Struthio camelus: one gene and its partners. The protein of the gene in region 1 purifies or fractionates together with the protein of each later gene. This does not show direct contact. Links are inferred from orthologs where the notes say so. Each region holds a gene or a part of one and is shown on either strand. Other genes may lie near its edges. The genes, in order: SF3B1, PRPF3, SNRPD2 and SART1.

Region 1 (7,569 bases):
AACCTGCCAGCTTATTCTAAACCACAAAAAGAGTCGGCATGGAATCAGTAGGGTTAGCAAACCCCCACTTATGGCCATGATCATTTTCAACCAAGGCAATGAAGTCCGTAAGTGCTAGACTTACAGTCTAAATGAAGCACTTCTTAAAGAGAACATCCATTTGATGAGCTGCACCCTCCCTTAACCAGCAGGTTTAAAAGGTCTGCAGCCAGACACAACTCGATTGCAAGTTTCCAAAGTACCACATACTTGGCAGGAAAAGACTTTAGTTTGAGATTAAAGAGATGTTTACCTTCCTTGATCTAGCCAGCATTTTCTAGAAAAATCTAACACTCTATTTAAGAAAGCATTTAAACATAAAACAGATGAAGAATGAGAGTAATCTCGATAGCTTAGGAATGTGATTTTGTAAAGCGAAGTACTTGTCTGATGATTTACTGAACCAGGGCCTAAACACAGAAAGTTACTTCGATCAAACAGCAGTAGAGACCACAAAACACAGCACAACATCCCACTGATCATCCCCTTTCTGTATTTTACCCCATTCAGTAACTTTAACATATTTTGGTATTTTTGAAAGAGTACTTTTAACATGCACAATTGATTTGGAAAATACAGTGAATACATAACATGAAAGTGAACACATATGAATTGAAAGTCACTGAAAACCTAGTTCACAGTCAGATCATGATAGCCCTTCTCAAAATACATACTCCACTATTATAAGATTAGTTCCATCTACAACGTTTGGAAAGGAAAACGTTACTCGTCATTAAAAAAAGAAAGAAGAATCATTCCCTGTATTGAAGTAGTATTTTAAGTATTTTAGAGTGGAAGTAGTTTCTATGTTTTCCAATTTACTAATTATATTTTTGCATTCTTAGCTTGCCCTGTGCAATCCTAATCACTTTAGGATTCTCCTCCGTGTTAGGACTAAATCTTTATTATGTTTGGAGGTTTGCTTCTTTTAACCTTTTTTCTTATTTAACAAGGCACTGTCAATTAAAAACCTATTTTCAGTAGCATTTCAAAACTCAAGCACTTAAGATACTTTATAAGTTCCTATTTTATAACCTTTTTATAACTTTGAAACTTTAATTTAACTGAGTATTTCCCTGTAGATCATGCAAGTGAAATAATCCCAAACTGTGTGAGATCTTTTCCAAGTTGTGTCTTGAACACATCAAATCAGCAAGTATTTAAAAGCAGTACAAAGATGTGAAACATCTTAAGAGAATTTAGTAACAGATAACTCATTCAATTTAGGAGATAAGTCAGGAATAAAAAAAAAAAAAAAACATACAACTCAAAAGAAAAAAAAAATCAAGTCATTCAGCCAGTATGTCTATGTAGGGCAAGATAACATTACATGATGACTGCCAATTGTACATAACAATTTATTTACATACCAAAAAACCCTTTAAAGCCTGCTTCAAAGCTAATCTGTTAATACTCATAACTGGAAGCATGACAACACTTCCGTTAAATTCAATGGACCATGACTTGCTTTAGTGTATAAGAAAAATAAGAAAAAACATCATATTGCTATTTTATTATTAAAATATCTTTGACTAGTGAGAGAGACAGAGCACTGTGATGTGTAACACCCAATTGGGTAATATCCAATACAAACCTTATACATGCCATAGCATATAACCAGAAGATAAATAAATTCAGTAACTCTATAAAAAACATTATAGAATGCTAAAATATAATCTCAAATTATTTGGGGGGGGGGGGGGGAGAAGTGAAGAAAATTATTTAAGCTTCCCCTTCTTACATAAGCTCAGACCAGATCCTGCAGTCCACGTCAACCTGGAGCTGCCTCTAAATTAGGAATTTTTTTCAGTGCAAAACTTACTTCCCTGAGAGACAGCCTGCCTACCTCACTTGGTACAACCATTGTCCAGAAGTACTTTTTGATTAGTGAATCCAGTATGTAAATTAATACAAAGCACAGCAGTTCATCTATCACACGCAGAAACATGAGTAAAAACACAAAAACAGAAAACATTTGCAGGAAAGCATTAAGCAGTACAATTCTAAAAACAACACCATTTGCTTTAAGATACTTAAGAGCTAAACAAACCCCTGACATTGACAAAAGAGATAGCTTTTATTCATGCTGTACAGAGCCATGTAACACCTCAGAGAGCAACAACATACTGCCTGTAAAGACCCTCACTCACAAACTGCTCAGAGATCAGTTTTCCCATGTAAACCCCCAGTCGACAGGAAGCCTCCGTGCTGAAACGGCATTTTAAAAGCCTGAGACCTCACGCTGCTTTTTCCCCTCCTTCGGGGCATTTTTCTCAACAGCGCCGTGCCGACACGACGCCTAGCAACAACTCAGGCCATCAGCATCACAGCTCACCCTGCGCCCGCGGCCTCCGCTTTCTAGCGGACACAGGCCCAAGGGCTCACTTAAACAAAATAAGCGTGCGTTATTGACGCGCGTCACGTCAAACCGAGGCGGGCGGAAAGCGCCATTCCGAGCGGGCGCCACGCAGGGGGCAAGGCCGCGGCGGCGGAGCGGGGCCAGGGCCGGGCCCGGCGCGGCCCACGGGCGACCGGGGCCGCGCTCACGTCGCCGCCGCGCCGCGGCGGCCTCTCGGGGTCAACAAAGCCGGAACTGAGCGGCGCCCCGGCCCCGCGCCAGCCGGCGGCCCGGGCATGGCGGTGACACCGCCGGAGACGCCATTACACAAGGCCCAGCCCGCCCGGGGCGAGCCCGCCCGGCCCCGGCCCCCGGCCGCGCAGCCGGGCCTGACGCGGCCCAGGAGTCGGGGAGAAGCGGAATCGGAGGGCCGGGGCAGGACACGCGGGTACCAGCAGCGCCGCCGCGGCTCTATAGGGGCTTTTTACCTTCGTGGGTCTTGGCGATCTTCGCCATTTTGTCCAGAGCGAACAACGCCGAGGCGGAACTGGCTCGGCCCAGCCACTTCCGCTACAGAGGGGAGGGGGAGCGGGGCCTCAACGCGCAAGCGCCAGCTGGGGGGCGGGGCACGGGTTGAGCGCGGCGCGGGGCCCCGCGCAAGCGCAGTGAAGGCCGAGAGGCGGTGCCATTCTGCCGGCCGGGCAGCCCCGCGAGCCAGCGCCGGAGCCCCGCCCACGCCGTGATGGACGGCGCGGTCAGCGAATGGCAGGGCGGCTGAGCGGTGCGGAGGCGGCCGTTGGGAGGGGCGCGCCGTGGAGGAGACCGTTGGGAGGGGCGCGCGCGGGGGCGGCCGTTGGGAGGGGCGCGCGCGGAGGGGGGCGCTGAGGCGGGCTGAGGCGTGTGGCGCAGCAGGGCTGCGGGCAGGGCCCAAACGCAGGGCGAGGGCAGGGAGCGGTGCTTTCCAGGCCAGTTGATAGGGGACAGTGTCTTCTGCTGGCCTTGGCACGGCAGTAAGTAGCTGCTGTGTTATCCTGAAGTACAAGGGCTCCAGTGTTTCTCGTTTGTCTTCAGCCAAAGACAAATGAGTGGCGCTCTTTCAGTATCTGCCTGCGAGATGCCTTCTTCTCGTTTGAGACACCGAAAGACGATGACGCTTCCACTGCACTGCACGGATAGTCAAAATACAATCAAATAAGTCTCTGCTTCCTGAAAAATCGCTTCTCACTGATGCTGCTCCCTGCTGAGGGTTGGTTCTGGTGTGGAGATTGGCAACTTTGCTACGTTTTGCCAAATTGCGTGACCTTTCTTTGCTCTTACCAGGCAAACTGGGCCGATAACAAAGGACAAAGCAACAGATACAAAAACAGGGCATAAATTTGTATATTTGCCACAAGACGGGTGAAAAATCGCCCTTAGAATAGTTACCGATGTTTTTCTCTGTCTAATGGGGACAAAAGCACTCTAGGCAGATCAATTCTACTGAATATTTTAGTAAGACCTTTGAAAAGGGAATTGAAGATACGTTTCTAGAATTGGCAGATGACACCAAACTGGCCAAAGTTACTAGTAGCTGCAAGATGAGATTCAAAATTATCTTGATCCCTAAAAGAAATCATTTGAGATCAAGAAGGTGGACTTTAATGAAGACGAGCATAACGTAGTACATATTGGAAGTTGAAAACAAGTATACACTTTCAAAATAGCCAAAATAATGAGAAAATGATCTGATGTGGATAGCAAATCAAAGCTAAATATGTATCAGCAACATCATGCTGCTGCAGAAGAAAATCCAATTCTGGGATAGAGTAACAGTGGTATTGTATATAAAACCTGGAAAGCAATCATTTCACTTCACTTGGCACAGTCAAAGCCACTGATGGAGTACATCGTGGTGCAGTTCATTCTAGGACTCTGCAATTTAACAAAGACGTGGACAAGCTGGACATAGTCCAGACCAGGGCAGAGGAATGATCAGAGGGTTATGAAACGTGCCCTGGGTAGGAATGGTGACAGAAACTAATTGTTTGGCTGTTCTGCAATAACTGCTCTTGTGCAGCTTCAGCATTTCATTTTGGAAACTCTTACCTTTTCTAGCAGTTTTTCTTTTAATGTGATATATCCATATTTCAATACTATCGCTACTGCACTTCATATCTGAATAGGATTGATTCTGTCCACATCCAAAGCCCTTGGAACTCTCCCTTATATCAAGTGTTGCAAATGAGCTAACTCGTCATTGTCTTATTTTTTAGCAGTAGTAGGCAAAAATCTAAGCAAAACAGCAAGGCTAACCACACAACCTAAGTTCAAAGTTCAGATACAGGATTGCTTAATCTTGCAACACATTAATGACGTTTCATAGCACTCAGTGTAATATGTAATCTTATGTAGTATATTTACTTGTATTTATGGTTTTATTGTACAACTGCTAAATTACTAAGATAGTCAAGCCTTTGCAACAAGCAATGTGAAACAATTTCTGTTGAGTGAGTTGAACGAATTTCTGATAAGGTAAAATGTAGAAATTATTTGCAAAAAGGGAGATAAGTACATGATGGCAAAACCATCACACTCTCTGCCTATAAATCATTCCCATTATGAAGGCTGATTGTTCACATTAGGACTCCTGGAGGATAGTCTTAAAGAAGATAAAGCCAAGGTTGTATGTTTGTGGGAATATCTGTGTTTGATCTGTCCATCTGTCATCTACCTCTTTTTGCTTTGTGTTGCTTAGCTCACGTAAGTTTGCTGAACAGTTCCTTGCTTTTATTTTTTCACATAATTAAATGTATTCAAATGTTCTTAAGTGAACGAGACTGTCATTTGAAGATACTGAGAGTCTTCTCTCTCTTCTCTTAGTATTATTAAGCTCACATTCTGCATTTCTAGAAAGATGTACTTGCACATACTTAGCGGCCACAAAAGGAGATATGTACTGAACTGCCTAGAGATAGATGAGGGTAAGATTGAGGCAGACAGTAATTCCCTACTGCAGGAATTTAATGCATGTAACTATTTTAAGTAACTGCGTCACATGCTCGGGTTCACTATGAATATCAATTTGCAGTAACTTTCTCTTGTTTCCTCAGCCTGACTTCCAGCTCCTGTGAGGCTGAACGGTTATGGACAGCAATGCTGTGCTCCTTCTGCTGTTATGCATCACTAAGCTCAGCAGTGGTCAACCCAAGGAACTCTTTTACGTAGTAATTTGAGGATATGCTATTTCCCCCACAAAAGATGGAGTTCTCTCAAGGTGCTGTGAGAGCCGACAGGAATTGTGTTGTGCTGAAGCAGGATATACTGTGAAGTGCAGTGACAAAACTGCTTTCTGCTTCTTTGTGTCTTTTATCTTTTCTCACAAATTCTGTACGCTGTCGAGGCTCTTTAATTTGTGTCAGGATTCAGGGCTTCGATAGGCATACACAAATTTCTTGCCTCCTGAACAACATCCCTAACACGCAGCTTCCACAGGGTATGGACAGGATGGTACTTAGTGGTTTACCAGTCCTGTTTTGCCTATCAAAGTTCCCTTCCCCTGCACGCACATGCACATACACTGCAGGGAGACTCCTCTATGGATTGGGAATAGACTGGATTTAAGAACCCCAAAGCTTCGCAGATTTAGAGTAAATCAGACCTAAATTACAGACCTGCCATGTCTTGCTTTATGGAATAGATTCAGGTCCAGTTTCTTTGGCCAGCTGAAGCCATCATTAGCTGGCACTGTGGCTGAAAGAAGTATCCAGCCACATTAGCCTGTCCTTGATTTACCCCTTCCGAGGGGCCAGCAGAAGTTTCTGGCACTGATTCACTTAATGAAGCCATGCTCCTGGCTACACTCTCCTGTTGATTTACCCCAAAATAACTTTTTATTTATATTCAATTTTTCCGCACACCTAATGGTATAAAATAATGCACCACAAGCTAACACTATGCAAATAGCAACTGCAGTGCCGGGGGGGGGGGGGGGGGTTGAGGCTGGGCCAGAGCCCCCTTCTGACCTGAGGTCAGTCCTCTCAGCTGTTGGCCGGAAAATTTGGACCTGGGTGCCGGGGCTTGGCAGCAGTGGCAGTGTCCTTACAGCAGGGTCAGGCCAGGGGTGCGGGTGGCCCTGGGCTGTCAGGCCCTGGGAGGGCATGTCACCTTCTACCTGCTTTATCTATTTGTGCCTTTTCCAGTATTGCTGCACCCAAACAGCTCAGTTATAAATGTCGTTGATCCCGCTTGGCAATGGGACTACTGCTATTTTTCTCCCTTTGCACATGTGGAAAACCAAGGCAGAGAGTAAACGGGCATCCCTAAAAGGGGTGAGGAGCCATAATCCACGCACTGCTCTGCAGCAAAACATCTCGGGGCATGAACTGGGCACACCAGGAATTCAGGAAAGCTGGGCAGAGATTCACCAGCCCCATAACAGGATTCAGGCTATCCAGTATAAAGACACAGAGCTCTCTGTGATAGCTGGTAGGATTAAGTGGGCGTCTGAGGATCCTTTTGTAGATTGAGGGTATGCCTAATTCTTGCTATGCCAGAAACTAGTTCACTTGTGATATATGAAATACAAGAAAGCTCTCCTAATTTTATATTATGGCTCCTGATAATGTACCAGAGTGTGAAATAGTAAATCTGCCCTTAATTCTTAGCTGTGGCATCAACTTCTGTTGTTTGCAGATCATGTAACCAGTAATTTACCCATTTCTCCTGCTTGTAGTTCGTCTTTCTCTGCCTAATGATGTGGTTGTGAGACTTTACAGAAGTTTATAGGGTATTTTGAGATACTTCAATTGCAGATACTATTCAAAATCTTTTTGTAAGTAAGAAGACAATGGTTTTATTATTGCTTCACCCTGCATATCTTTGGCTGCCAAAGGGACACATTAAACTAGTTGCCTTGCTCACACATCTGTAGAAGCAGAGCTGAACGTAGCAAGTTAAAAATAGCACGTTTTTTTAACAATGATAATTCAGATCTATTTGCCTCATTTAGGATCGACTCTGTCTCTCTGTCTATTTTTTAAATGGTCATCCTCGAGATGAGATCCTAACAATGAAATGTTTTACAAATCGTTTAAAGTTTATAATCTGAGTTTAAACGGAACCATTTCTTTTCTAATGCAAATGTATGCTCTATATTTTATATCTCTAGCTATATCTATCTATATGTAAATGACTGGTCATATATACTGCTGATT
Region 2 (7,564 bases), on another chromosome or scaffold:
TGCCCAGGAGCTGCTTATTGTGCACCTATTCTACGCACTGCTTGCTCTATCAAGGGGTCCAAGTGCTTCTACAAACAATTGCAGATTTGGGGTCAGAGCACTCTGGCCATACCAGCTGCTTTCTTTTTGTCCATTCCTTTCCCAACGCAGTTCAGCGCTGCCGTAACCACAGTGGGCTCCGAGAACCCCAGGACTCGCTTCACTGTCTTCTCGATCCATGGCTTCAGCTCATCCAATTCTCTTTTGGACAGCGACATCTTTGCTAGTGGCTGATTCTAATTATCGTGCTTGTACCTGAAAAGCAGACAGACAAGGGAAAAAAAACCCGACACAATTAGTTTAAAAAAAAAAAAAAAGACAGATTATCATTGTATCAATGCCCTGTATTTTTCTCTTCAAAGAGAAAACTTACAACCAATAAAAGCTCTCAGAGATTACTTTTGCTTGCTTGTTTTTAAAATGCAAGCTAAAATTAGCTAAGAGTCCTGCAGAAGCATGGAGAGGAAGGGTCTGAGCAGCAAGGAGCCTACACTCTGACCAGACAAGACAAAGCATAAGACCTTCCTAAGGGAAACATCATGCTCACAGATTACTCTGGAACTCTGCATGAAAAGCAGGACTAGTCCCTGCATCTCCTAAATCCTACCAACACAAAGCCCATCTTCCCTAAAGGGGAAGAAATAAACCAAGTAGCATATCTGTCCTTGCAGCGCAGGCTCCACTTCCACACATGGATCCCCACAAACAGGATGGGAAAGTTTGGTTTTGAGGTGTCCCTTCAGTCCTTGGCTTGTCTTACAAAAGCAGGAAAGCCAACCAGTGTCAGGCACAGCAATGGCTTTACTTATTTATGCAGCTAATTACTAATGGATAAAGACTCACTCACCTTCCATGAAAACCACCAGCTCATTACGGACTACATTGCTCAAGGCAAGCTTATTGTATCCACTGTTTTAAAACTATGTGGGCTAAATAACATCCCAAGCAGATACTGAAAAATCCAATACGTGCATATACACATATGTTAGAGCGCCGCGTCCCTTTAATCTGAGGTTCCCAGACTACTTTGAACACGCTGTGCTTCACAATATGAAGTGCTGCAGCCCTTTTCTTACTCCAGGGAGAGATTAAAGTCACAATCTGCAGTAAAAGACCATCTCCCAGCCTTCTCATTCTGCCTTACTACATGAGCCTGTACAAACACTTTATTCTGTGGCATGCGGTCCAAGTCCCGGAAATTTGTGGCTATGCTCAAGGCTAAGTTTGAAAATCTCATTTAGTCAACAGATTTACTAATGCTTAAAGTTCAGCACGTGCCTGACTACCCCTGCATTTGCTACTTAAACTAGCATCAGTCTCCAGCAAGCCAGTAACAACGTATTTCCCAGCCTGATCATTTTGAACTGAACAACAGATTGCAGGCTTTCAAGACAAAAAACTCTCACCGTCAGTCATTAGTGGTTCATACTTTTAATGTCATTTAGAGTCTGTAAATGCAATAAAGTTTAATTATGCACCCAGGCTCTAATCTGATTTGGAAACCAAGTCTTCTTTATCTGGAAACAGGAGAAAATCTTCTTAAGGAAGTATGTTTGACCTAGACATTTCTTCCCTAGAAGAAAACGCCTGCATAGCCTGGAGGTTAATATGGATCTATTTAAACAGAAAGTAAATACCACCTCAAATAAGGCTATCACTCACAAAGAGAGGGCCACAAAAAAAAGATCTTGGGCCTTAGTTCTAGTAAAGTGCTTTTTAATTTAGGGTCTGCGGGAAGTACTCAAGAGAAGAAAAGCTACAGGTTCAAAATAGCTACTAGGGGCAGTTACATTTTCACCAGAGACTTCGTAACAGTCTGCAAAGCAAAAGGTTGAAAATCTTCACATCCTTTTTTTTCCTCCCCCCTACAGAGAGTTTCACAGAGGTATGTTAAAAAGCAGCATCAAACACAGCTCAAAAGTACATTACTACTACATTTCAGCTGTAACTCCTGACTTGTAGCATATAGCACGTCAGAATAAAGGTGTCCAAGATTCAAGATAATTTAAATTAATTGAGTGCTACACTGCATCTGCAATACTGATGTTGGTCACAGCTGCATATATACATAAACATACAAATAAAAAAGTTTTTTTTTGATAAATCCAAAACTTACACAATTCATTTTTGGTTTAAACTCCGCATTAATCTTTAACTTATGTAATTCAATAAGGTACAACAAAGAACTGCAACACGTTTAATGGAATTTCACTGGGTGAATATAAGGAGAGTAAATACACTGCTTGGCATCTAAAGGTACCTCTTCCAGCAGCATTAGTGCTCCTAACACTGTGTACACAATGTTAGCTTGCGGGCATGACAGACTCAGGTGAGGGGCAAGGCTTAATAAATTTCAGTAAGGAAACTGGTGCTGAAGCGTATAACACACCTTAATTTAAATATACATCCACTCGCCTCCTTCATTATATTATTTCCCAGAAATAACCTGAAAGCGATGGTCCCACAGCGCTGTTGGCAAAACAACCGAATCCTTCGGGAAAAGAAAAAAGGGGATTAACTTTATCTTGCAAAACTTGCACGCCTAAAACCAAGCAACAACGCCAGGCACAGTGAACTTCGGGGTGCTGAGGAGCTATTGGACGGCGCACACCCAGGAACGCTGGGCGCTCCCGCCGCACAAAAGCCCTCGGGAAGCCCCGGCCGGAGCAGCTCGCGGAATCGGCGGCCGCAGGCAGCGGCCTCCGCGGGCCCGTCCTGCCCCGCGGCCCGGCCCGGCCGCTAAAGCAGCGGAGCAGCCCGCGGGGGCGGAGCCGGCCGCCCCCCCCCCCCAACCCCGGCCTCGGGAGTTCCCCGCGACGCGACGGCGGCCTCCGGTAGGCCGCCCCTCCCCCAAGTGCGACCCCCCCCGGCCCCGGCGCGGGCGGCTCCTCACCGCCCGGCTCTTCCCCGCGGCGGGGCGCGGCCCCGGCACTCCCGCGGCGGCGGCGGCGGCAGGGCAGGGCCCGGCCCGGGCAGCGGCGGTGGGCCCGGACGGCGACGGCACGTCGGGGCGGAAGCGGAAACGGCCGCAAGGCGCCTGCGCGCGCGCCCGCGCAAGGGGTGTCGGGAAAGAGGAGGGTGGGGGGGGGCTCTCCTTCGGCACGTGACGCAGCACCGCCCGCCGCCGAGGTCACGTGGGCTCCCCCCCCCCCCTTCCCCGCGTTACGTGGGCGGGTGACGCGGAGCTCCCCCTGGCGCGCGCCTCGGGGCACGCGCGCTGCGCGGCAGGGAGCTTGCAAGGGGCGGCGTGCAAGGAGCAGCATGCACCGTGCAAGGGGTGGTGTGCGAGGGCGGCATGCATTGTGCAAGGGGTGGTGTGCGAGGGTGGCATGCATCGTGCAAGGGGTGGTGTGCGAGGGTGGCATGCATCGTGCAAGGGGTGGTGTGCAAGGGCGGCATGCACCGTGCAAGGGGTGGTGTGCGAGGGCGGCATGCACCGTGCAAGGGGTGGTGTGCAAGGGCGGCATGCATCCTGCAAGGGGTGGTGTGCAAGGGCGGCATGCATTGTGCAAGGGGTGGTGTGCGAGGGTGGCATGCACCGTGCAAGGGGTGGTGTGCGAGGGTGGCATGCATCGTGCAAGGGGTGGTGTGCGAGGGTGGCATGCATCCTGCAAGGGGTGGTGTGCGAAGGCGGCATGCACCGTGCAAGGGGTGGTGTGCAAGGGTGGCATGCACCGTGCAAGGGGTGGTGTGCGAGGGTGGCATGCATCGTGCAAGGGGTGGTGTGCGAGGGCGGCATGCACCGTGCAAGGGATAGCGTGCAAGGGCAGCATGCATCGTGCAAGGGGTGGTGTGCGAGGGTGGCATGCACCGTGCAAGGGGTGGTGTGCAAGGGCGGCATGCATCGTGCAAGGGGTGGTGTGCGAGGGTGGCATGCATCCTGCAAGGGGTGGTGTGCGAGGGCGGCATGCACCGTGCAAGGGGTGGTGTGCGAGGGCGGCATGCAGCATGCAAGGGATAGCGTGCAAGGGCGGCATGCATCGTGCAAGGGGTGGTGTGCGAGGGTGGCATGCACCGTGCAAGGGGTGGTGTGCAAGGGCGGCATGCATCGTGCAAGGGGTGGTGTGCGAGGGTGGCATGCACCGTGCAAGGGATAGCGTGCAAGGGCGGCATGCACCATGCAAGGGGTGGAGTGTGAGGGTGGCATGCACTGTGCAAGGGGTGGTGTGTGAGGGCAGTGTGCAGCATGCAAGGATGATGTGCAGCATGCAAGGGATAGCGTGCAAGGGTAGCATGCACCGTGCAAGGGGCGGCGTGCAAGGGTGGCATGCACCATGCAAGGGGTGATGTGCGAGGGCAGTGTGCAGCATGCAAGGATGACATGCAGCATGCACTGTGCAAGGGGCAGTATGCAGGAGCAGCATGCAGCATGCAAGGGTGGCATGCAGTGTGCAAGGGGCTATGTGTGAGGGTGGCATGCAGCATGCAAGGGGCAGTGTGCAAGGGCAGCGTGCCCCATGCAGGGGAACATGCAACATGCAAGGGGCAGCCTGCAAGGGGGGCATGCGAGGCTGGCATGCAGTGTGCAAAGGCCAGGCAGCACGCAGGGGCTGGCATGCAAGGGGCAATCTGCAGCACTCAAGAGCTGGTGTGCAACGGGCAGTGTGCAACACAAGGGCTGCCCTCCCCTTCCCCTCAGCCTGCACGCTCATACAGCTGGCTCTGCAAAAGACCCCCAAGCATACCTGCAGCACTTGTACAGCTTCCTGCCACCCGCTGCCCCCCCAGCACTGGGACACCGGCAAGCAAATACCCACCCCCCCAAGAGCTGCAGCTGCTACCTCATGCTCCCAGGAGCAAACGCTAGGGTTTTGCAGCAATGATGCCCCCTGCCCTGTTGACACGCAGGCACAGACAAAAGGCCCATGGATCTCTCAACATGCAAAGAAAGTGATCCTGTTACACAGTGCCAGGGTGCAAACTATTGGGGCATGGGATGCAGTTGGTCTGGAAAAATAAAACCCTTCCAAGAGCAGAGGGAGGAGGCTGGTAAGATTGTGTAATGTGGACTTTGAGCTGACCAGAGCAGCCTTACAAAAAAAAAAAAAAAAAAAAGAGATGGTATTTAGGATTTTCATACCAAACCAGAACAAGTGGCTTCCCTCCTCAGGAAGCACAGACTGTCATTTGTATTAATCCACCAGCCAGATTTGAGAGGCTAAAGGGACCTCAAAAACAAGTAAAATAAAACAAGCAGCACCTTATTGCGTAACACAGGCTCCTTGCTGCCTGTCAAAACTGCAAACTGAGGGGAAAATGATTATTTTAAAAATACACTGCCAGCACTTTGCTATTTATACAAACCAAATCAGAAATTGTCCTTCTCCCCATTGGTCTGCAAGAGGCCAGGATGGCCTTAGCTAGGCCAGGTGCTATTTAAACAAGACGCAGAGGAGCGGCTAGTTCGAGCAGCAGAATCGCACACGATTTGCTCACCCGAGCGTCACCCAAGCACAGCAGGCGACGCTGCCAAGATGTATTTATTAACAGATAGAAAGGTGACAGCAGTGACACAGGTCCGTCCTCCGCGTGGAGAGGAGCTCGGTTTGCCCGGCCCTCGCGCGCGGTGCCGTGGCAGGGGCCGCGACAGAGGGCTGCCAGCTCCCGATTTCCCGCGGCGCGGCCGGAGCTAGTGGCCGAGCCACGGGTCCTGCCGGTTCTTCCGCGACAGAAAGGCAATCTTCCGGGCCATCTCGGTGTTGTAAACGCGCCGGCACGCCTCGTAGGCCAGCCGCTGCCTTCGGCGGCACGGCTTCTCGTAGTACCGCTTCTGCTTGACGTCGTCGATGATCCCGTCATGCGAGAGGATTCTGCGGGGAGGAAGAGCGGAGTCAAACGTCGCGGCTTCTGCACAATGCGCCGACTGCATCAAACACCAAAATAAACCCACCCACGAGCCCGTATTACGCAAGAGAGCCCTTACTGCAGGCTCCGTTTAGCCTGCTGCTCCCTGCATCACCTATTTCTTTAAATTAGCTGACAGCAGGAATGACAGGCAGGTCAAAACACTGGGGATTTGGGTAAAGAACTGGGCCTCACTTGCATATTTTTAACTCTCCTGCATCAATTACTGCCAGTAGGAATTACAGCGCAGGTAGTCTCTGATGGTGAGGCATTTGCAATGATTTTCCAGTGAAGAGAGGCAGACAGGGCTGGTTGAGAACAGGAGAGGGGTAACCCGCCAACACCTGACCCAGCTCAGTGCACGCAAGGATCGGTCGTCTCCATGCTGCGCCAGTCATCCCGACTTGTTTTGCTCAGAGGCCATTAATGCAAAAACATCAGAGGTCCTAAAGCATTTCGCTTAGCAGGCTGAGAATTATCAGGAGGAAAATAAAACGCCTTTAAAACTTCATTAAGCTGCTTGGTAGTTGTGAAAAATTAATGTGCTGCAGGTAAAGGCAGTTTTCTCCATGGTTACCAAGTCTCTCGGCTGGAGATGACAGCCTGGCAGGCATGTGGTGCCACACCAACGCTGCTGCCTGCGCTTACCGTCACCTTCAGCATGTTTCGCCCCAGCAGAGCGAAGCGGAGACCTTTCCTAAACCACGGCCCGGGCGTCCACAGACGGCGAGTCAGCCCCGTGCAGGCTCTCTTGGAGCCGTCAGCGAGCACACGAGGTGGGACGCAGCTGCATTCCTCCCCGAAGTTATTAGTGGAAATAGTCACGTCAGCACCGCTAAGCTCAGAGCTATAAATAAGCCCCAGCGCTGGGCTCTTTTCCACCCTGCTCCCGAGGCGGCTCCAGCATCCCCCCTCACCGCTCCTCTTCCCCGCGCCGGGGCGGCAGCAGAGCTCCCACGGTGGCTTTGCCTCTCTCGACATCAAAGCCCCATGGCCGGCCACTTCGCCGCCACCACCGTTCCCAACGGGAAATGCTTTCTCCCTGCTGGGTAGGGGCAAACTCCCAAGCACAGCTTGGAAGGCTGCACCGGGCTTTTTCCAACATCCTTACAACACGTTCCCATTTACAGCCACAAGGATGAGCGTTTTAACCTGGTCTGCCCACAGCTGCGCTTAAACTTGGCTATTTTTAAACCACATACGCCCTTAATCTTTGCTTTTACACTGCAGCCTTCACCTGCTGAATCATCTGTTGCTGCTCTTTGTTACAACTCAAGATCAAAGCTCCTCACGCAACACCGGGTGATTTTGCTGCTAATGAGAAAAACTGTCATTCACGCCCCCCGCCATATCATGTACTCTGTTCATCTACTTGCATCTTTCTTATCGCTTGGTACAAGGACAGCAATCCTCGTTTCCGAGGTTAAATCAAGCAGAGCTCATACAAGGTTCACGGAGGTCCTTGAACCCAGCCCTAGGGAGCATAACTGCCTACCTGTTACGGATGGCAACGAGCCACCGCAAGCAACGAACCTTTAGAAGCACGGCTTAAGCCATTTCAGGAAAACCTGGCGTCTGAGCCTTGACTTCGTCCACATTGTAATTCAGGCAAGTTTTTGTACCAATTTAAAATGATGTGGGAACCCAAAGACTGCGACAACCCTGACAGAGTCTCGCGCTC
Region 3 (7,094 bases), on another chromosome or scaffold:
CTGGGACCAGTCTAAGCTCTAACTGGGACCAGTCCCAGCCTCTAACTGGGACCAGTCCGGGCTCTAACTGGTTTTGTCCCCGGACTCCTGGGTCCTTCCCCCCCTCCCCACCGGGGGGGGGTGCGGCGGGGGGAGGGGCCCGGACGCCTGGGCTCCTTCCCCTCTCTGCCCTTGGGAGAGCAGCTTCCCTCCCCCCCCCCCACCCGGCCCGGACGCCTGGGTCCCCTCCCGGTGGGGGGAGGGGTGGAGGGGTCTATGGGGCGGGCCCGGACGCCTGGGTCCCTGCCAGGTTCGGAGAAGGGGGGGGGAGGATGTGGCCCGGACGCCTGGGCCCCTTCTTGGTGGGGGGGGTCCTGAATGCCTGCGCCCTCTTTTTGGGGGGGAGGGTCCCGGACACCTGGGCCCCTTATTGGGGGGGGGTCCCGGACGCTTGGGTCCCTTTTTGGGGGGTGTCCCGGATGCCTGGGTCCCCTCTTAGTGGGGGGGGGGTTGCCCAGATGCCTGGGCCCCTGCCAGGTTTGGAGGGGTGTGGCCCGGACGCCTGGGCCCCTTCTTGGTTGGGGGGGGGGTCCGGCCGCCTGGGTCCCTGCCACGTTTTGGGGGGGGTGTGGCCCGGCTGCCTGGGTCCCCTTCTTGGTGTGTGTGGGGGTCCCGGACGCCTGGGCCCCTGCCAAGTTTGGGGGGGTGTGGCCCGGACGCCTGGGCCCCTTCTTGGTGGGGAGGGGGTCCCGGACGCCTGGGCCCCCTTTTAGGGGGGGTGGGGGGTGTCCCGGACGCCTGGGGCCCTGCCAGCTTCGGGGGCGGGGGTATGGCCCGGACACCTGGGTCCCTTCTTGGTGGGGGGGACGCCTGGGTCCCCTTTTGGTGGAGGGGGGTCCCGGACGCCTGGGCCCCTGCCAGCTTTGAGGGGGGTGTGGCCTGGACGCCTGGGTCCCTTCTTGGTGAGGGAGTCCCGGACTCCTGGGCCCCCTCTTGGTGGGGTGGGGGGTGTCCCGGACGCCTGGGCCCCTGCCAGCTTCGGGGGGTGTGGTCCAGACACCTGGGTCCCCTCCTAGTGGGGGATCCCGGACGCCTGGGCCCCTGCCACGTTTGGGGGGGTGTGGCCCAAACATCTGGGTCCTCTTCTTGGTGGTGAAGGGGGTTCCCGGACACCTGGGCCCCCTTTTAAGGGGGGGGGTCCCGGACACCTGGGTCCTTGTTAGGTTTGGGGGGTGTGGCCCGGACGCCTGGGCCCCTTCTTGGTGGGGGGTGTCCTGGACGCCTGGGCCCCTGCCACATTTCGGGGGGGGTGTGGCCCGGACACCTGGCCCCTTCATGGTGGGGGGGGTCCCGGACGCCTGGGTCCTCTCTTAGTGGTGGGGGGGGCCCGGACGCCTGGGCCCCTGCCACGTTTGGGGGGGTGTGGCCCAAACGTCTGGGTGTCCTTCTTGGTGGGGGGGGGTCCCGGACGCATGGGCCCCCTTTTAAGGGGGGGGGTCCCGGACGCCTGGACCCCTTCTTGGTGGGGGGGGACCCGGACGCCTGGGTCCCCTTTTGGGGGGGGTTCCCGGACGTCTTGGTCCCTGCCAACATTTGGGGGGGGTGTGGCCCGGACGCCTGGGCCCTTTCTTGGTGGGGAGGGGGTCCCGGATGCCTGGGCCCCTGTCAGCTTTGGGGAGGGGGGTGTGGCCTGGACGCCTGGGCCCCTTCTTGGTCGGGGGGGGGTGTCCTGGATGCCCGGGCCCCCTTTTGGGGGGGGGGGTCCGCACCTAAGGCCGGTGGGGAACCAAGCAGGGACCCAGGCGTCCGAGGGGCCCAGGCGTCCGGGGGAGGCCCGTGGCCGGCGGGAGGGGGGGGGGTGTCACCGGGCAAGACACGCCGAGGCCACGCGTGACGAGCCCGCGAGGCGGCACGCGCCCGGCCCGGCGCACACGCGTGTGCGACGCCTCGGCCCTGGCGTGGCGCCCGGCCTGGCACCGGCCCCGCGGCCGCCGGCCGGGGAGGGGCTGCCACCGCCGCCGCTCGCACGACGGCGCACGTGGCTCGCACGAGGACACGGCCGGCTCGCACGAGGACACGCGTGACATGCACCAGGACACGCGTGACTCGCACGGGAACCGACCTGGCTCGCACGGGGACACGCGTGACTCGCACCAGGACACATGTGACTCACACAGGGACACGCGTGACTCACACGGGGACCCGCCTGGCTCGCACGGGGACGTGTCCGGCTCGCACCAGGGCACGCCTGGCTCGCACGGGGACATGTGTGACATACACGAGGACATGTGAGACTCGCATGGGGACCCATCTGGCTGACAAGGGGACACGCGTGACTCACACGAGGACACGTATGACTCGCAGAAGGACACGCGTGACTTGCAGAAGGACACGCGTGGCTCACGTGGGGACCAACCTGGCTCGCACGAGGACATGCGTGACTCGCACGAGGACCCGCCTGGCTTGCACGAGGACACGTGTGTCTTGCACGGGGACGCGTGTGTCTCGCACGGGGACACGCGTGCGTCGCACGAGCACCCGTCCGGCTCCCTCGGGGACCCTCGTGCCCCCCCCTCACCCCGGGACGGCCGGTCCCCCACGCCCCGCACACGCGTGGGGGAGGGGGCGGACCCCCCCCGCCCCGGCCCCGCCCCCCTGGCCGCGCTGGCCCCGCCCCCGGCCGCCCAGGCTCCGCCCCCCTCCCCGTACCTGGCCGCCAGCCGCCCGGCCATGGCGCCGCCGCCGCCGCCGCCGCCGCCCTCTGCGCGCCCGCTCCCACCGCGCCGCCGACCCCCGCCCGGCCCCGCCCCCGGCCCCGCCCCCGGCCCCGCCCCCGCACGCCCCCTCCCGCCTCCGGCGGCGCGCCACGCCCCCTGCTCCGCCGCTGCCGGCCACGCCCCCTCCCGCCGCGCGACACGCCCCCCGCTCTACCGCCGGCCCCGCCCCCTCCCTCCCGCCCCGCCCCCATCGCCGGCACACCCCCGTTCCTTGGCCACGCCCCCGAGGCCACGCCCCTCGGACCTCCCCCCGCCCCGCGCCCCGCGCCCCGCTCCGGGCAGCCCCCCTCCCCCCCCCCCAGCACTGTCACCACGGGGCACCCACGGCACCCGCTGCCCCCCCGCACTGCCCCCCCCGCACTGCACTCACTGCCCCCCACTGCACCCCCTGCCCCCCCCGGCCATCCCACTGCCCCCCACACTGCACCCGCTGCCCCCCACATCTCCCACGGCACCCGCTGCCCCCCCGCACTGCACCCCCTGCCTCCCCACCCCGCACTCTGCACTGCCCCCACTGCATCCTCAGCACCCCCGCACTGCCCCCTTGCGCTACCAGCACCCACTGCCTCCCTCGTGGCACCCCACACTGCACCCCTGGCACACACTGCCCCCCACCCCGGACACCCTGCACTGCTCTCCTCCGGGCACCCCCAGCGCCCAGCGCCTCCCAGCACCTTGTTCTGCGCCCGCTGCCTCCCCACGCCCCCTCCCGCTTTGGTACAACTGGGGGGGGGCGGGGGCTCATGTCAGCCTGGGCCCCCCATGAGGTCCGTTTCCAGCCCCCCCATGTCTGTTTCCACTCCCCATGTCTGTTTCCAGCCCCCCCAATGTCCATTTCCAGCACCCCATGTCCGTTTCCAGACCCCCCATGCCTGTTCTCACTCCCCCATACACGTTTCCAGCCCCTTCATGCCCATTCCAGCCCCTATGGCAGTTTCCAGCCCCCCTATGTCCATTTCCACTCCCCATGCCCGTTTCAACCCCCACATCTGTTACCAGCCCCCCATTATCTGTTTCTAGCTCCCTCTGTCCATTTCCAGACTCCCATGTTCGTTTCCAACCCCCCCAAGTCCGTTTCCAGCCCCCCGTGTCCGTTTCCACCCTCCATGTCTGTTTCCAGCCCCCCATGTCCGTTTCCACCCTCCATGTCTGTTTCCAGCCCCCCATGTCCGTTTCCAGCCTCCCCATGTCCGTTTCCAGCCCCCTCCGGGCAGTTTCTCGCCCCCCCCAGCGCTGCCGCCGTGGCCGCGCGCGGCCCCGCCTCTTTTGGCCGCTCCGCCCTGCCGTAGCGGCGGCTCTTCCCTCCCCCCTCCCCGCTCCCGGCGCGCATGCGCAGCGCCCTCTTTCCCCCCGCGAGTGCGCCGTGACCCCGGAAGTAGCTCCTGGGCGCCCCGGAAGTGGATCCGTGCGGGCGGCGCGCGGGAGCGGGAGACGCGCGAGGGGAGCCGCCATGTGAGGGGGGAGCGGGAGCGGGGGGGAACCGGGAGCGGGGGGGGGGACTGAGAGAACCGGGGGCGGGGGGGGAACCGGGGGCGGGGGGAACTCAGAGAACTGGGAATGGGGGGAACGAGAACAGGGGGGAACCGGGGACGGGGGGGGACCGGGGCCGGGGGGGGACCGGGGACAGGGGGAATGGGAACGGGGGGGAACCGGGAACGGGGGGGAACCGGGGATGGGGGGGAACTGAGAAAACTGTGGATGGGGAGAACAGGAACAGGGGGGAACCGGGGCCGGGGGGGGGGAACCGGGGCCGGGAGGAACTGAGAGAACCGGGGATGGGGGGGGGGAACGGGAACAGGGGGGAACCGGGGAAACCGGGGATGGGGGGAACCGGGAGCGGGGGGGGGGGGAACCGAGGACGGGTGGGAACTGGGAGAACCGGGAGCCGGGGGGAACCGGGGATGGGGGGGAACTGGGGGTACGGGTGACGGGGGGGGGAACTGGGAGAATCGGGGACGGGGGCAACGGGAACAGGGGGGAACTGGGGATGGGGGGGAACTGGGGACGGGGGGAATGGGAACGGGGGGGGGAACCGGGGCCGGGGGGAGGGGGAACTGGGAGAACTGGGGATGGGGGGGAACCGGGGACAGGGGGAATGGGAACAGGGGGGAACCGGGAATGGGGGGGAACTGGCAGCGGGGGGAACCAGGGATGGGGGAGAAATGGGAGGACCGGGGATGAGGGGAAACTGGGAGGACCGGAAACGGGGGGAACCGAGAGCATGGGGGATCCGGGAATGGGGGGAACGGGGAACTGGGAGTGGGGGGGAACTGGGGGAGGGGGAACTGGGAACAGGAGGGAACAGGAACGGGGGAGGGGGGCCAGGAACAGGGAAGACCGGAAACGGGGAGGACTGGTAAGAGGGGAGAACCAGGGACGGTGGGAACCGGGAGCAGGGAGGGGACCAGGTCTGGGCTCCCCCCTCTCCCCAATGTCCCCGCTCCCCGTTGTCCCCCCCCTCCCAGTGCCCCCCTCATGCCCTTGCGCCCACTCCTGCGTCCCCCCGGGCGCGTCTTCCCTGCTGTCCTGTTCCCCCCGTCCTCTGTTTCCCCCCCCCCTCCCCCCATGCCGGTGTCCCCAACCCTGGGGTGACCCGGCGGGGTGACGCCGCAGGTCGCTGCTCAACAAGCCCAAGAGCGAGATGACGCCGGAGGAGCTGCAGAAGCGCGAGGAGGAGGAGTTCAACACGGGGCCCCTCTCCGTCCTCACCCAGTCCGTCAAGAACAACACCCAGGTGCTCATCAACTGCCGCAACAACAAGAAGCTCCTGGGGCGCGTCAAGGCCTTCGACAGGTCCGTGTCACCCACCCCCCGGTGTCCCCAAACCCACCCCGGCGTCCCTAAATTCCCCTGGGGCCCTCTGTGTTCCCGAATCCCCCTCCTGCCACCCCAAAGTTGTCCCCGTTGTCCCCAAATCCCACCCCGGCCTCCTTAAATCCTTCTGGAGCCCTCCGTGTTCCCAAATCCCCTTCCTGCCACCCCAAAGTCCCCCCCAGTGTCCCCAAATTCTTCCCCGATGTCCCCAAATGCCCCCCTGGAGTCCTCTGTGTTCCCAAATCCCCCTCTTGCCACCCCAAAGTTATCCTTGGTGTCCCCAAATCCCACCCTGACCCCCCCAAATCTTGCCCTAGAGGCCTCTGTGTTCCCAAATCCTCCTCCTGCCACCCCAAAGTCGTCCCTGTTGTCCCTAAATCCCACCCCAGCCTCCTTAAATCCCTCTGGAGCCCTCCGTGTTCCCAAATCCCCTCCTGCCACCCCAAAGTTGTCCCCGTTGTCCCCAAATCCTTCCCTGGCATCCCCAAATGCCCCCCTGGAGCCCTCTGTGTTCCCAAATCCCCCTCCTGCCACCCCAAAGTCCCCCCAGTGTCCCCAAATTCTTCAGTGCTCCCCATTGTCCCCCCAAAACCTCCCATGACCCCACTACCCCCCTGAGGACCCCAGTGTCCCCCCAAATGCGCCTCGCATCCCCAAATCCCCCCCGGTGTCCCCCAAATCCCCCTGGAGCCTCCCCCGGTTCCCAAATCCCCCTGCCACCTCCCCACAGTGTTCCCCGGTGTCCCCAAAACCTCACGGGAGCCTGGTGTCCCCCAGGAATCCCAATGTCACCAAAATTCCCCCCCACCCCCAGTGTCCTCACGTGCCCCTGGAGCTCTCCATATTCCCCCAATCCGCCTCCTGCCACCCCAAAGTTGTCCCCGTTGTCCCCATATCCTGCCCCAACGTCCCCAAATGCCCCCCTGGAGCCCTCTGTGTTCCCAAATCCTCCTCCTGCCACCCCAAAGTCCCCCCCAGTGTCCCCAAATACTTCCCCGACGTCCCCAAATGCCCCCTGCAGCCCTCCGTGTTCCCCAATCCCCCTCCTGCCACCCCAAAGTCCCCCCCAGTGTCCCAAATCCCACCCTGGTGCCCCCAAATCCTGCCCCAGCATCCCCGAAATCCACCCTGGCTTCCCCAAATCCCCCTCTGTGTTCCCAAATCCCCCTCCTGCCACACCAAAGTTGTCCCCCGTGTCCCCAAATCACCTCTGTGTCCCCAAATTCCCCTGGAGCCCTCCAGGTTCCCAAATCCTCCTCCTGGTGGCCCAAAGTGCTCCCCAGTGTCCCCCCCAAAACCTCCCAGCACCCCAGTGTCCCCCCTGAGGACCTCAGTGTCCCCCAAATGCCCCGGGTGTCTCCAAATCCCCCCTAGTGTCCCCAAAATTCCTCCTGGCACCCCCCCAGGTTCCCAAATCCCCCTTTTGCCTCCCCAATATCCTCCCCAGTGTCCCCAAAGTCCCCCCCGGGAACCCTGCTGTCCACAAATTCCTCCCTCTTTCCCAAAGTCCCTCCCCCATGTCCC
Region 4 (7,873 bases), on another chromosome or scaffold:
CGGGGGCTCAGGGGTGTCCCCAAGGGGGTCCTGACGTCCCCAAGGGGGTCCCGAGCTCACCCGCTTCCTTCTCATGAACTCTTCCTCCACCAACGTGCTGACACCAAACTCTTGATCCATCTCCTCCAGCAGCTTGGCCTGAAACGGCGCCGTTTCGCCCCGAATTAACCCCATGGTGGGGGCAGGGAGGGTTATTCACCCACCCGGATGCCTGGGTCCCCTCCCGGCACAGGGGCAGGGCACCCCCGGACGCCTGGGTCCCCTTCCCAGAGCTCACCCTCTTCTCCGCCAGCTCCTTCTCCTGCTGCAGCTTGCGGCTCCGCTCGATCCAGGCGGCCGCGTCGTCCAGCCACGGGTCGTCTTCGCCCAGCGTCTTCACTTTCCTTGTTCCGGGGGAAAAAAAGGGGTTCTTGGGGCCGCCCCCACCCGTGTGGGTGCTGCCGGGGCAGAGGCAGGTTGGTGGGGGGAGGCTCACCCCAGTTTTTGGTTGAGGAGCCGCTTCTCCTTGGCGGCCGCCAGCTTCTCGCGGATCTCCTCCCGCTGCCGCTGCACCAGCGGGTTGATGACGTCGGCCGCCACCGGGTCCTCCTTGGTGCCGGCTTCTGGGGGGAAAAACGGGGAAAAAGGGGGCGTTGGGGGGGGGCCAAGAACACAGGGAACCCCTCCAAAGTGGGGCGAGGGGGGCACTTTCTCCTCACCTTTTTTCACAGCGGACACCTCCAGCGGCTTCAGCCCCAGCTTGGCGCGGAGTTTGCTGGAAACGGGGAAAAACAAAGGGGTGAGAAAAGGGGGCAAATATGGGGGTAAATTGAGGCCTGGGGGGCAAATATGGGGACGGGGGTGGTGGAAATGAATGTGTGGGAGCAAACAGGGGTGGGGGGCACCCTGGGGTGGGGGCAGCGCAGGCATTAGAAAAAAATTAATAAATATCATGGTAAGCAAACGCATTTGAAGTGATTTAAGGAAAATTAAAAAGCATTCAGCAGTAATTGCAGAGTATTAACGATATTTGGGGTAACGGGGGAATGCTGGGGTGATACTGGGGGTAACTGGGCAGCGCAGAGCAGTGCTGGCAGTAACTGGGAACATTTTGGGGCCTTATGGGGACTTTTCACAGAACATTCAAGGTTTCTGCAAACATTTGAGGAACTTCACCAAACCTTGGAAAACATCGAATGAATATCAGAGCAAAACAGTGCGGTTTTGGGGTTACGAGCACAGTTTTAAACGGCATTGGGGGAGCACTGCAGAGCATCAGAAAAGTACTGGGGCAACTGAGGAGTAAGCGGGGGGATTTGGGGGTATATCAGGGTAATAACAGCCACTAGAACTTAAACAAGTAACTACTGAGTATTAAAAGTAGCCAAAAAAAGAACTATACGCTAGAAATACTTAGAACTGCACCAGAACAACAGTGGTGAAAATCTGGGCAGCACCAAGAACTTATCAGGAGAACTGGGGGGTTGTTTGGGGTATCGGAGAGCGACCAGGAGTAACGGGGGCAACGCGAGGGGTTACAGGAGGTAATTGGGGTGTCGGGAGTTTGCCAGAGTAACGAGAGTGTAAGAAAAAGTATCAGAAAAGCGTCGGTATAACTACGAGTCGGCTACGATAAATGACAGATATCAGAACAGCACCGGCGGACCCAAGAGTTGCAGGAAATAATCTGAGAGTATTAGAGAAAAACTAGCGTAACCGGGCATTACAAGAAATAATCGGGTGGTATCAGAGCAATATTGGGGCAACTAAGAGTTACAAAAAGTAACTGGGGGCATCAGAGGGGTATTGGGGGTATCGGGGGCCCCGCGGGGCTCTGGCTCACTTGGTCTCCTCGACGCTGAGCGACGACTCGCCCGCGGCGGCCTTAGAGGCGGTGGCTGGCGGGGGCAAGGGGGGTCGTTAGCTAACGAGGGGGATCAGTACCCCGTAACCCCCCCTCCCCAAGCCCCACAACCACCCCAAGGCTCCATAACCGTCCTCAGAGCCCCACAACCACCCCCGAGAACCTCCCGAAGCCCCATCACCACCCCCAAGGACCCCCAGATCTCTACAAAGCCCTATAATGACCCCCCCAAGGACCCCTCCCAGCACCCCCTGAAGACCCCCCAGCACCCCCAAGGACCCTCAAGGCCCCCAATCACCCTCAGAGACGCCTAGATCTCCCCAAAGCCCCATAGCTTCCCCCAAGGACCTCCCCCAGTACTCCTCAAAGCCCCCTAACCACTCCCAAAGACCCCCTAATTACCCCCACCCAGGCCCCATAACCACCCCCAGAGGCCCCCAGACCCCTCCAAGCCCCCTAACCTCCCCTAAAGGTCCCCACAGACCCCCCCCATCCCAAACCCTCAACCACCCCTAGCCACCCCCAAACACCCCCCAAGCACCTCAACCGCCCCCAAACGCCCTCCCCAGCCCCCCAGCCGCCCCCAAACGCCCTCCCCCAAACACCCTCCCCAGACGCCCCCCAAGCCCCCTAGCCGCCCCCAGACGCCCCCCCAAGCCCCCTAGCCGCCCCCAGACGCCCCCCCAAGCCCCCTAGCCGCCCCCAGACGCCCCCCCAAGCCCCCTAGCCGCCCCCAGACGCCCCCCGGGGACCCCCCGGCCCTCTCACCGGGCTCGTCCCGCTCCTCCCGCCGCTCCCTCTTGCCCCGTCGCCCCGCGTCGGGCTCGGCTCCGCCTCGGCCATGGCTGCTGCCACCGCCGCCGCGCCCGGACTCCTCGGTGCCGCCGCGTCGCGACGAGCCGCTGCCGCCGCTGCCGCCGCCGCCGCGCTCGCCCCGGGAGCGGCTGCGCTTGCCGCGCCGCTCGCCGCCGCGGTGCCGGTGCTTGCGGTGCTCGCGGGGCCGCCCCGCCGCGCTGCTGCTGCCGCCGCTACCGCCGCCGCTTCCCCCCGCCGCCGCCACTGCTGCTGCCGCCGCTGCTGCTGCTGCTGCCGGGGCCGCCGCCGCCGCCGGGGCCTCCTCGGTGCCGGCCTCGGCCCCGCCGCGCTCGCGGTGCTTCTTGGAGGAGCCCATGGCCGCGCCGCTCCCGCCGGCGGCCGCTTCCGGGGTCGCCGCGCCGCTTCCGGCGGAAGCCGCGGTGTCTTCCCCGCCCCCTCAAGGCGTCACTTCCTCTGGTGGGCGGGGCCGCGCCGCGTTGCCGTGGGGACGCAGCGGAAGTTGGGGGGGGAGAAGGGGGCAGAGTCCGGTGCCCCCCCACCCCCAGGGACCCAGGCGTCCGGGCAGGAACCGGCAGGACACGTGGAGGCGGGGGTGGGGGGCGGTGTCACCAAAATGGCGACCTCCAGGGCGTCACCAAAATGGCGGCCTCCTGAGGGGGCCACCAAAATGGCGGCTCCGTGTGTGTGCGGAAAACACCACAATGGCGTCTCCGTGGGGGGCGGCGGGGGCCCCAGAAACGGCCTCCGGGGAGGGGAAGGGGGGACCCCAAAATGGTCTCCAAGTTGGGGGCCCCCCCAAATGGTGGCCAAGGTGGGGGGGGTGTCCCCAAAATGGCTGCTGCAAAGGCAAGCCAAGATGGCGGCCCCCTGGGGGCACCCCGAAATGGCGCCCGGGGGGAGGGGCCATGTCCCACCACCCCCAAGGTTTGGGGGTGGGGGGGACCCAGACCCCGGGGTGGGGGAACGCGCTGCGTTTTGGGGCCCCCTCGAGGTTTGGGGTGGGGGGGCCGGGGTGGGGGAAGGGCGGCGCCGCCCCTTCCCCCCCACCCGGCGGGGAACAATGGGGCATTGTCTCGGCGCCCCCTCCCCTCCCCCACTTCCTGCACTTTGATCCTGGCGCGTTGCGGCCGCGGGGGCGGAGCTAGGCCGCGGAGGGGGCGGGGCGAGGGGCGGAGGGGCGGGGCGAGGGGCGGGGCACGGGCGCTCTATATAGAGCCAGCGCCGCCGCTGCCCGTCCCATAGGTGACAGTAAGGATGACGCAAGTACGGGGAGGGGGAGGGGTGGCTCGCTTTTTGAGGGCGATTCCTGCTTTTCGGAGGGTTCCCCACTATTTTGGGGGGGGCCCCACTATTTTGAGGGGAGATGCCTGTTTTTAGGGGAAAAGGGCGCGGTACCCTGCCTGACGTGGGGACCCAGGAGTCCGGGGACCCTGGATTTAGCTATGGATGATTGGGGGGGGACCCCAAATTATTGGGGGTGCCTGATATCGGGGTGCTGGGGGGCATATTGGGGTGCAGAGTGGGGCTCTGCACGCTCTGGGGGTGCCCGGGAGGGTCTTGGGGCACACAGTGGGGCCCTGCCTGGTCTGGGGGGTGCCCATGGGGATATTGGGGTGCCCGGTGGGGGGTTCTCTAGGTGCCTGCAGGGATATTGGGGTGCACAGTGGGACCCTGCAAGGTCTGGGTGCACCTAGGGGGATCTCAGGGTGTTTGGGGTGGAGTCTGGGGGTACCTAGAGATGATCTTGGGGTGCTCAGGGGGATCTCGGGGTGCTCCAGAGGCTCTTAGGGCACTGGGGGGTGCCCAGGTGAGTCCTGGGTGCCTGAGGGGATTTGGGGGTGCTCAGGTGGGTCTGGGGGAGGCCTGGGTGATATCTCAGAGTGGCCAGGAGGGAGACTTAGGGGTGTTCAAGTGGGTTTGGAGATGGTTGGGGAGGGATTTGGGGGTGCTCAAGTGGGTCCAGGGGGATCTTGAGGTGCCCAGGAGTACCTCAGGGTGCTTGGGGGGAATTTGAGGCTGCTCAGATGGCTCTGGGGGGATCTCAAGGTGCTCAGAAGGGTCTCGGGGTCCTTGGAGAGGCATTTGGGGGTGCTTGGGTGGCTTTGGGGGGATCTCGGGGTGCCCAGGAGGCTCTCAGGGTCCATGGAGAGGCATTTGGGGGTGCTTAGGTGGATCTGGAGATGTTTGGGAATATCTCTCCCCTAGAGAAGGGGATTTGGGGGTGCTCAGGTGGGTTCGGGGGGATCCCAGGGTGCTTGGGAGGGATCTTGGGGTGCCCAGGGTCCTTGATGATCTTAGGGTCCTTGGATGGGCATTTGGGTGTGCTCAGGTGGGTCCAGGGGGATCTCGGGGTGCCCAGGAGGATCTCAGCATCCTTGGAGGAGCATTTGGTGGGTGCTTAGGAGGATCTGGAGGTGTTTGGGAGTATCTTCCTCCCAGAGAAGGGGATTTGAGGGTGCTCAGATGGGTTTGGGGGGATCTCGGGGTGCCCAGGAGGATCTTAGGGTCTTTGGATGGGCATTTGGATATGCTGAGGTGGGTCCAGGGGGATCTCGGGGTGCCCAGGAGGATCTCGGTATCCTTGGAGGAGCATTTGGTGGGTGCTTAGGAGGATCTGGAGATGTTTGGGAGCATTTTCCTCCCAGAGAAGGGGATTTGAGGGTGCTCAGATGGGTTTGGGGGGATCTCGAGGTGCTTGGGAGGGATCTCGGGGTGCCCAGGAGACTCAACGCGGGGGCGTCCACCTCACCCGCAGGCCATGGAGCCGGAGGCGGCGGCGCTGCGCGACGTGGAGCTGACGACACTGGACGCCGAGAAGCAGCCGATGGCCGGTGGCGTCGAAGAGAAAAATGGGCTGGTGAAAGCGGCGCCCCCGAAATCCGCTGGCGGGGCGGCGCCCGGCGAGGAGGAGGATGAGGAAGAGGAGGGCGAGGAAGGCGGCGGCGGCGGCACGGGCGCCAAGTTCACGGGGCTGGGCAAGGAGGAGCTGGTGCGGGTGGCCGGGGCGGCGGGGTGGGCACGAGCCCGGGCCGCCCTGCTGCTGCTCTTCTGGCTGGGTTGGCTGGGCATGCTGGGCGCTGCCGTGGCCATCGTGGTGCGCGCCCCCCGCTGCCGGCCCCTGCCCCCGGACTCCTGGGCCCGCCGCGGCTTCCTCTACCGCGCTCCTCCCGGCCCCTTCGCCCACAACCTCACGGGTGAGGAGCAGGGAGGGAGGGATGGGGTAGGGGGTGGCTTGGTGGCACTGTGGGGTGGCTCTGGGTACCCATGGGGTGGCCCTGCAGGATCTCATCCCCATGGGATGGTCAGGGTGGCCCTGGCTCCCCGTGGGGTGGCAGAGGTGGCCCTGGGTCCTCATGGGGTGGCCCTGCAGGGTCTCCTCCCCATGGGGTGGTCAGGGTGGCCCTGGCTCCCCATGGGGTGGCAGAGGTGGCCCTGGGTCCTCATGGGGTGGCCCTGCAGGGTCTCCTCCCCATGGGGTGGTCAGGGTGGCCCTGGCTCCCCATGGAGTGGCAGAGGTGGCCCTGGCTCCTCATGGGGTGGCCCTGCAGGGTCTCCTCCCCATGGGGTGGTCAGGGTGGCCCTGGCTCCCCAGGGGATGTCACAGGTGGCCCTGGGTCCTCATGGGGTGGCCCTGAGGGGTCTCATCCCCATGGGATGGTCAGGGTGGCCTTGGCTCCCCATGGGGTGGCAGAGGTGGCCCTGGGTCCTCATGGGGTGGCCCTGCAGGGTCTCCTCCCCATGGGGTGGTCAGGGTGGCCCTGGCTCCCCATGGAGTGGCAGAGGTGGCCCTCAGTCCCCATGTGGTGGCCCTGCAGGGTCTCCTCCCCATGGGGTGGTCAGGGTGGCCCTGGCTCCCCAGGGGATGTCACAGGTGGCCCTGGGTCCTCATGGGGTGGCCCTGCAGGGTCTCATCCCCATGGGATGGTCAGGGTGGCCTTGGCTCCCCATGGGGTGGCAGAGGTGGCCCTGGGTCCTCATGGGGTGGCCCTGCAGGGTCTCCTCCCCATGGGGTGGCTAGGGTGGCCTTGGCTCCCCATGGGATGTCAGAGGTGGCCCTGGGTCCTCATGGGGTGGCCCTGCAGGGTCTCCTCCCCATGGGGTGGTCAGGGTGGCCTTGGCTCCCCATGGGGTGGCAGAGGTGGCCCTCAGTCCCCATGTGGTGGCCCTGCAGGGTCTCCTCCCCATGAGGTGGTTCTGGCTCCCCATGGGGTAGCCCTGTAGGGACTCCTCCCCATAGGATGGCAGAAGTGGCCTTGGCTCCCCATGGGGTGGCAGAGGTGGCCCTGTGTCACCATGAGGTGGCCCTGTAGTGTCTCGTCCCAGGTTGACCCCGTGTTCCCAGAGCATTAAGGTTGTTCCTGCTGTCACCGTCAGGCTGTGCTGTCCCCTCGGGGTGTCATGGTTGTCCGTGTTGTCACCACTGGGCTGGGCTGTCCCCTCGGGGTGTCGTGGTTGTCCCTGCTGCCACCGCCGGGCTGCGCTGTCCCCTCGGGGTGTCATGGTTGTCCCCGCTGTCACCATCAGGCTGCGCTGTCCCCTCGGGGTGTCAGGATTGTCCCCGCTGTCACCATTAGACCCTGTTGTCCCCCCTCGCCCCGTGTCACCCCAAAACCTTGCTGCCCCCCCCCCCAAAGGGACCCGGTGTCTGGGGCAGCCCCTCCCCCACGGGCAGCAGGGCCCAGGCATCCGGGGCCCCACGTGCTGGAACCGGTTCCAGCTGGTCGGGTTTCATCAGCCACCGCCTGGGGCGGGGGAATGACTCAGCTTTGGGGGGGGCTGTGACACAGCAGGATAGTTTGGGGGGGGGTCCTTGAGGGCTCTCCCCAGCCCAGGGGGGGAATTCAGGGTCTCCCCTCTATTTTGGGGGGTTTTGGGGTCCCTGAGGGCTCCCCCCAGCCCGGGGGGGGGGAAATTGGGATCTCCCCTTTATTTGGGGGTGTTTTGGGGTCCCGGAGAGCTTGCCCCAGCCTGGGGGGAGAATTCGGGGTCTCCCCTCTATTTTGGGGGGGTTTTGGGGTCCCTGAGGGCTCCTCCAAGCTTGGGGGGGAATTGGGATCTCCCCTCTATTTGGGGGTGTTTTGGGGTCTCTCCTCTGTTTTGGAGGGTTTTGGAGTCCCTGAGGGCTCCCCCCTAGCCCAGGGGGGAAATTGGGGTCTCCCCTCTATTTGGGGGGGTTTTGGGGTCCCTGAGGGCTCCTCCCAGCCTGGGGGGGGA

What was found.
Region 2: the proteins of SF3B1 (region 1) and PRPF3 purify together in Homo sapiens (co-immunoprecipitation; 3 studies listed by BioGRID and IntAct, with this or other methods). This does not show direct contact. The link is inferred for Struthio camelus from reciprocal best matches to the Homo sapiens genes SF3B1 and PRPF3.
Region 3: the proteins of SF3B1 (region 1) and SNRPD2 fractionate together in Homo sapiens (co-fractionation; 5 studies listed by BioGRID and IntAct, with this or other methods). This does not show direct contact. The link is inferred for Struthio camelus from reciprocal best matches to the Homo sapiens genes SF3B1 and SNRPD2.
Region 4: the proteins of SF3B1 (region 1) and SART1 purify together in Homo sapiens (co-immunoprecipitation; 4 studies listed by BioGRID and IntAct, with this or other methods). This does not show direct contact. The link is inferred for Struthio camelus from reciprocal best matches to the Homo sapiens genes SF3B1 and SART1.

What each region holds. Positions count from the first base shown.
Region 1 is NC_090947.1:11,827,527-11,835,095, reverse strand, and holds the start of SF3B1 (splicing factor 3B subunit 1), read right to left. Parts: upstream 3,003-7,569; 5' UTR 2,894-3,002; coding exon 2,866-2,893; intron 1-2,865. UniProt on the Homo sapiens protein: Component of the 17S U2 SnRNP complex of the spliceosome, a large ribonucleoprotein complex that removes introns from transcribed pre-mRNAs.
Region 2 is NC_090971.1:2,724,277-2,731,840, forward strand, and holds the start of PRPF3 (U4/U6 small nuclear ribonucleoprotein Prp3), read right to left. Parts: upstream 3,016-7,564; 5' UTR 2,933-3,015; intron 2,531-2,932; 5' UTR 2,429-2,530; intron 295-2,428; 5' UTR 258-294; coding exon 113-257; intron 1-112. Other genes in the region: MRPS21 (small ribosomal subunit protein bS21m), read right to left, coding at 5,669-5,849. UniProt on the Homo sapiens protein: Plays a role in pre-mRNA splicing as component of the U4/U6-U5 tri-snRNP complex that is involved in spliceosome assembly, and as component of the precatalytic spliceosome (spliceosome B complex).
Region 3 is NC_090957.1:2,001,229-2,008,322, forward strand, and holds the start of SNRPD2 (small nuclear ribonucleoprotein Sm D2), read left to right. Parts: upstream 1-4,078; 5' UTR 4,079-4,206; coding exon 4,207-4,208; intron 4,209-5,369; coding exon 5,370-5,549; intron 5,550-7,094. UniProt on the Homo sapiens protein: Plays a role in pre-mRNA splicing as a core component of the spliceosomal U1, U2, U4 and U5 small nuclear ribonucleoproteins (snRNPs), the building blocks of the spliceosome.
Region 4 is NC_090976.1:736,819-744,691, reverse strand, and holds the start of SART1 (U4/U6.U5 tri-snRNP-associated protein 1), read right to left. Parts: upstream 3,015-7,873; coding exon 2,612-3,014; intron 1,878-2,611; coding exon 1,823-1,877; intron 755-1,822; coding exon 699-754; intron 603-698; coding exon 476-602; intron 384-475; coding exon 278-383; intron 139-277; coding exon 61-138; intron 1-60. Other genes in the region: amino acid transporter heavy chain SLC3A2, read left to right, coding at 3,914-3,922, 5,415-5,853. UniProt on the Homo sapiens protein: Plays a role in mRNA splicing as a component of the U4/U6-U5 tri-snRNP, one of the building blocks of the spliceosome. May also bind to DNA.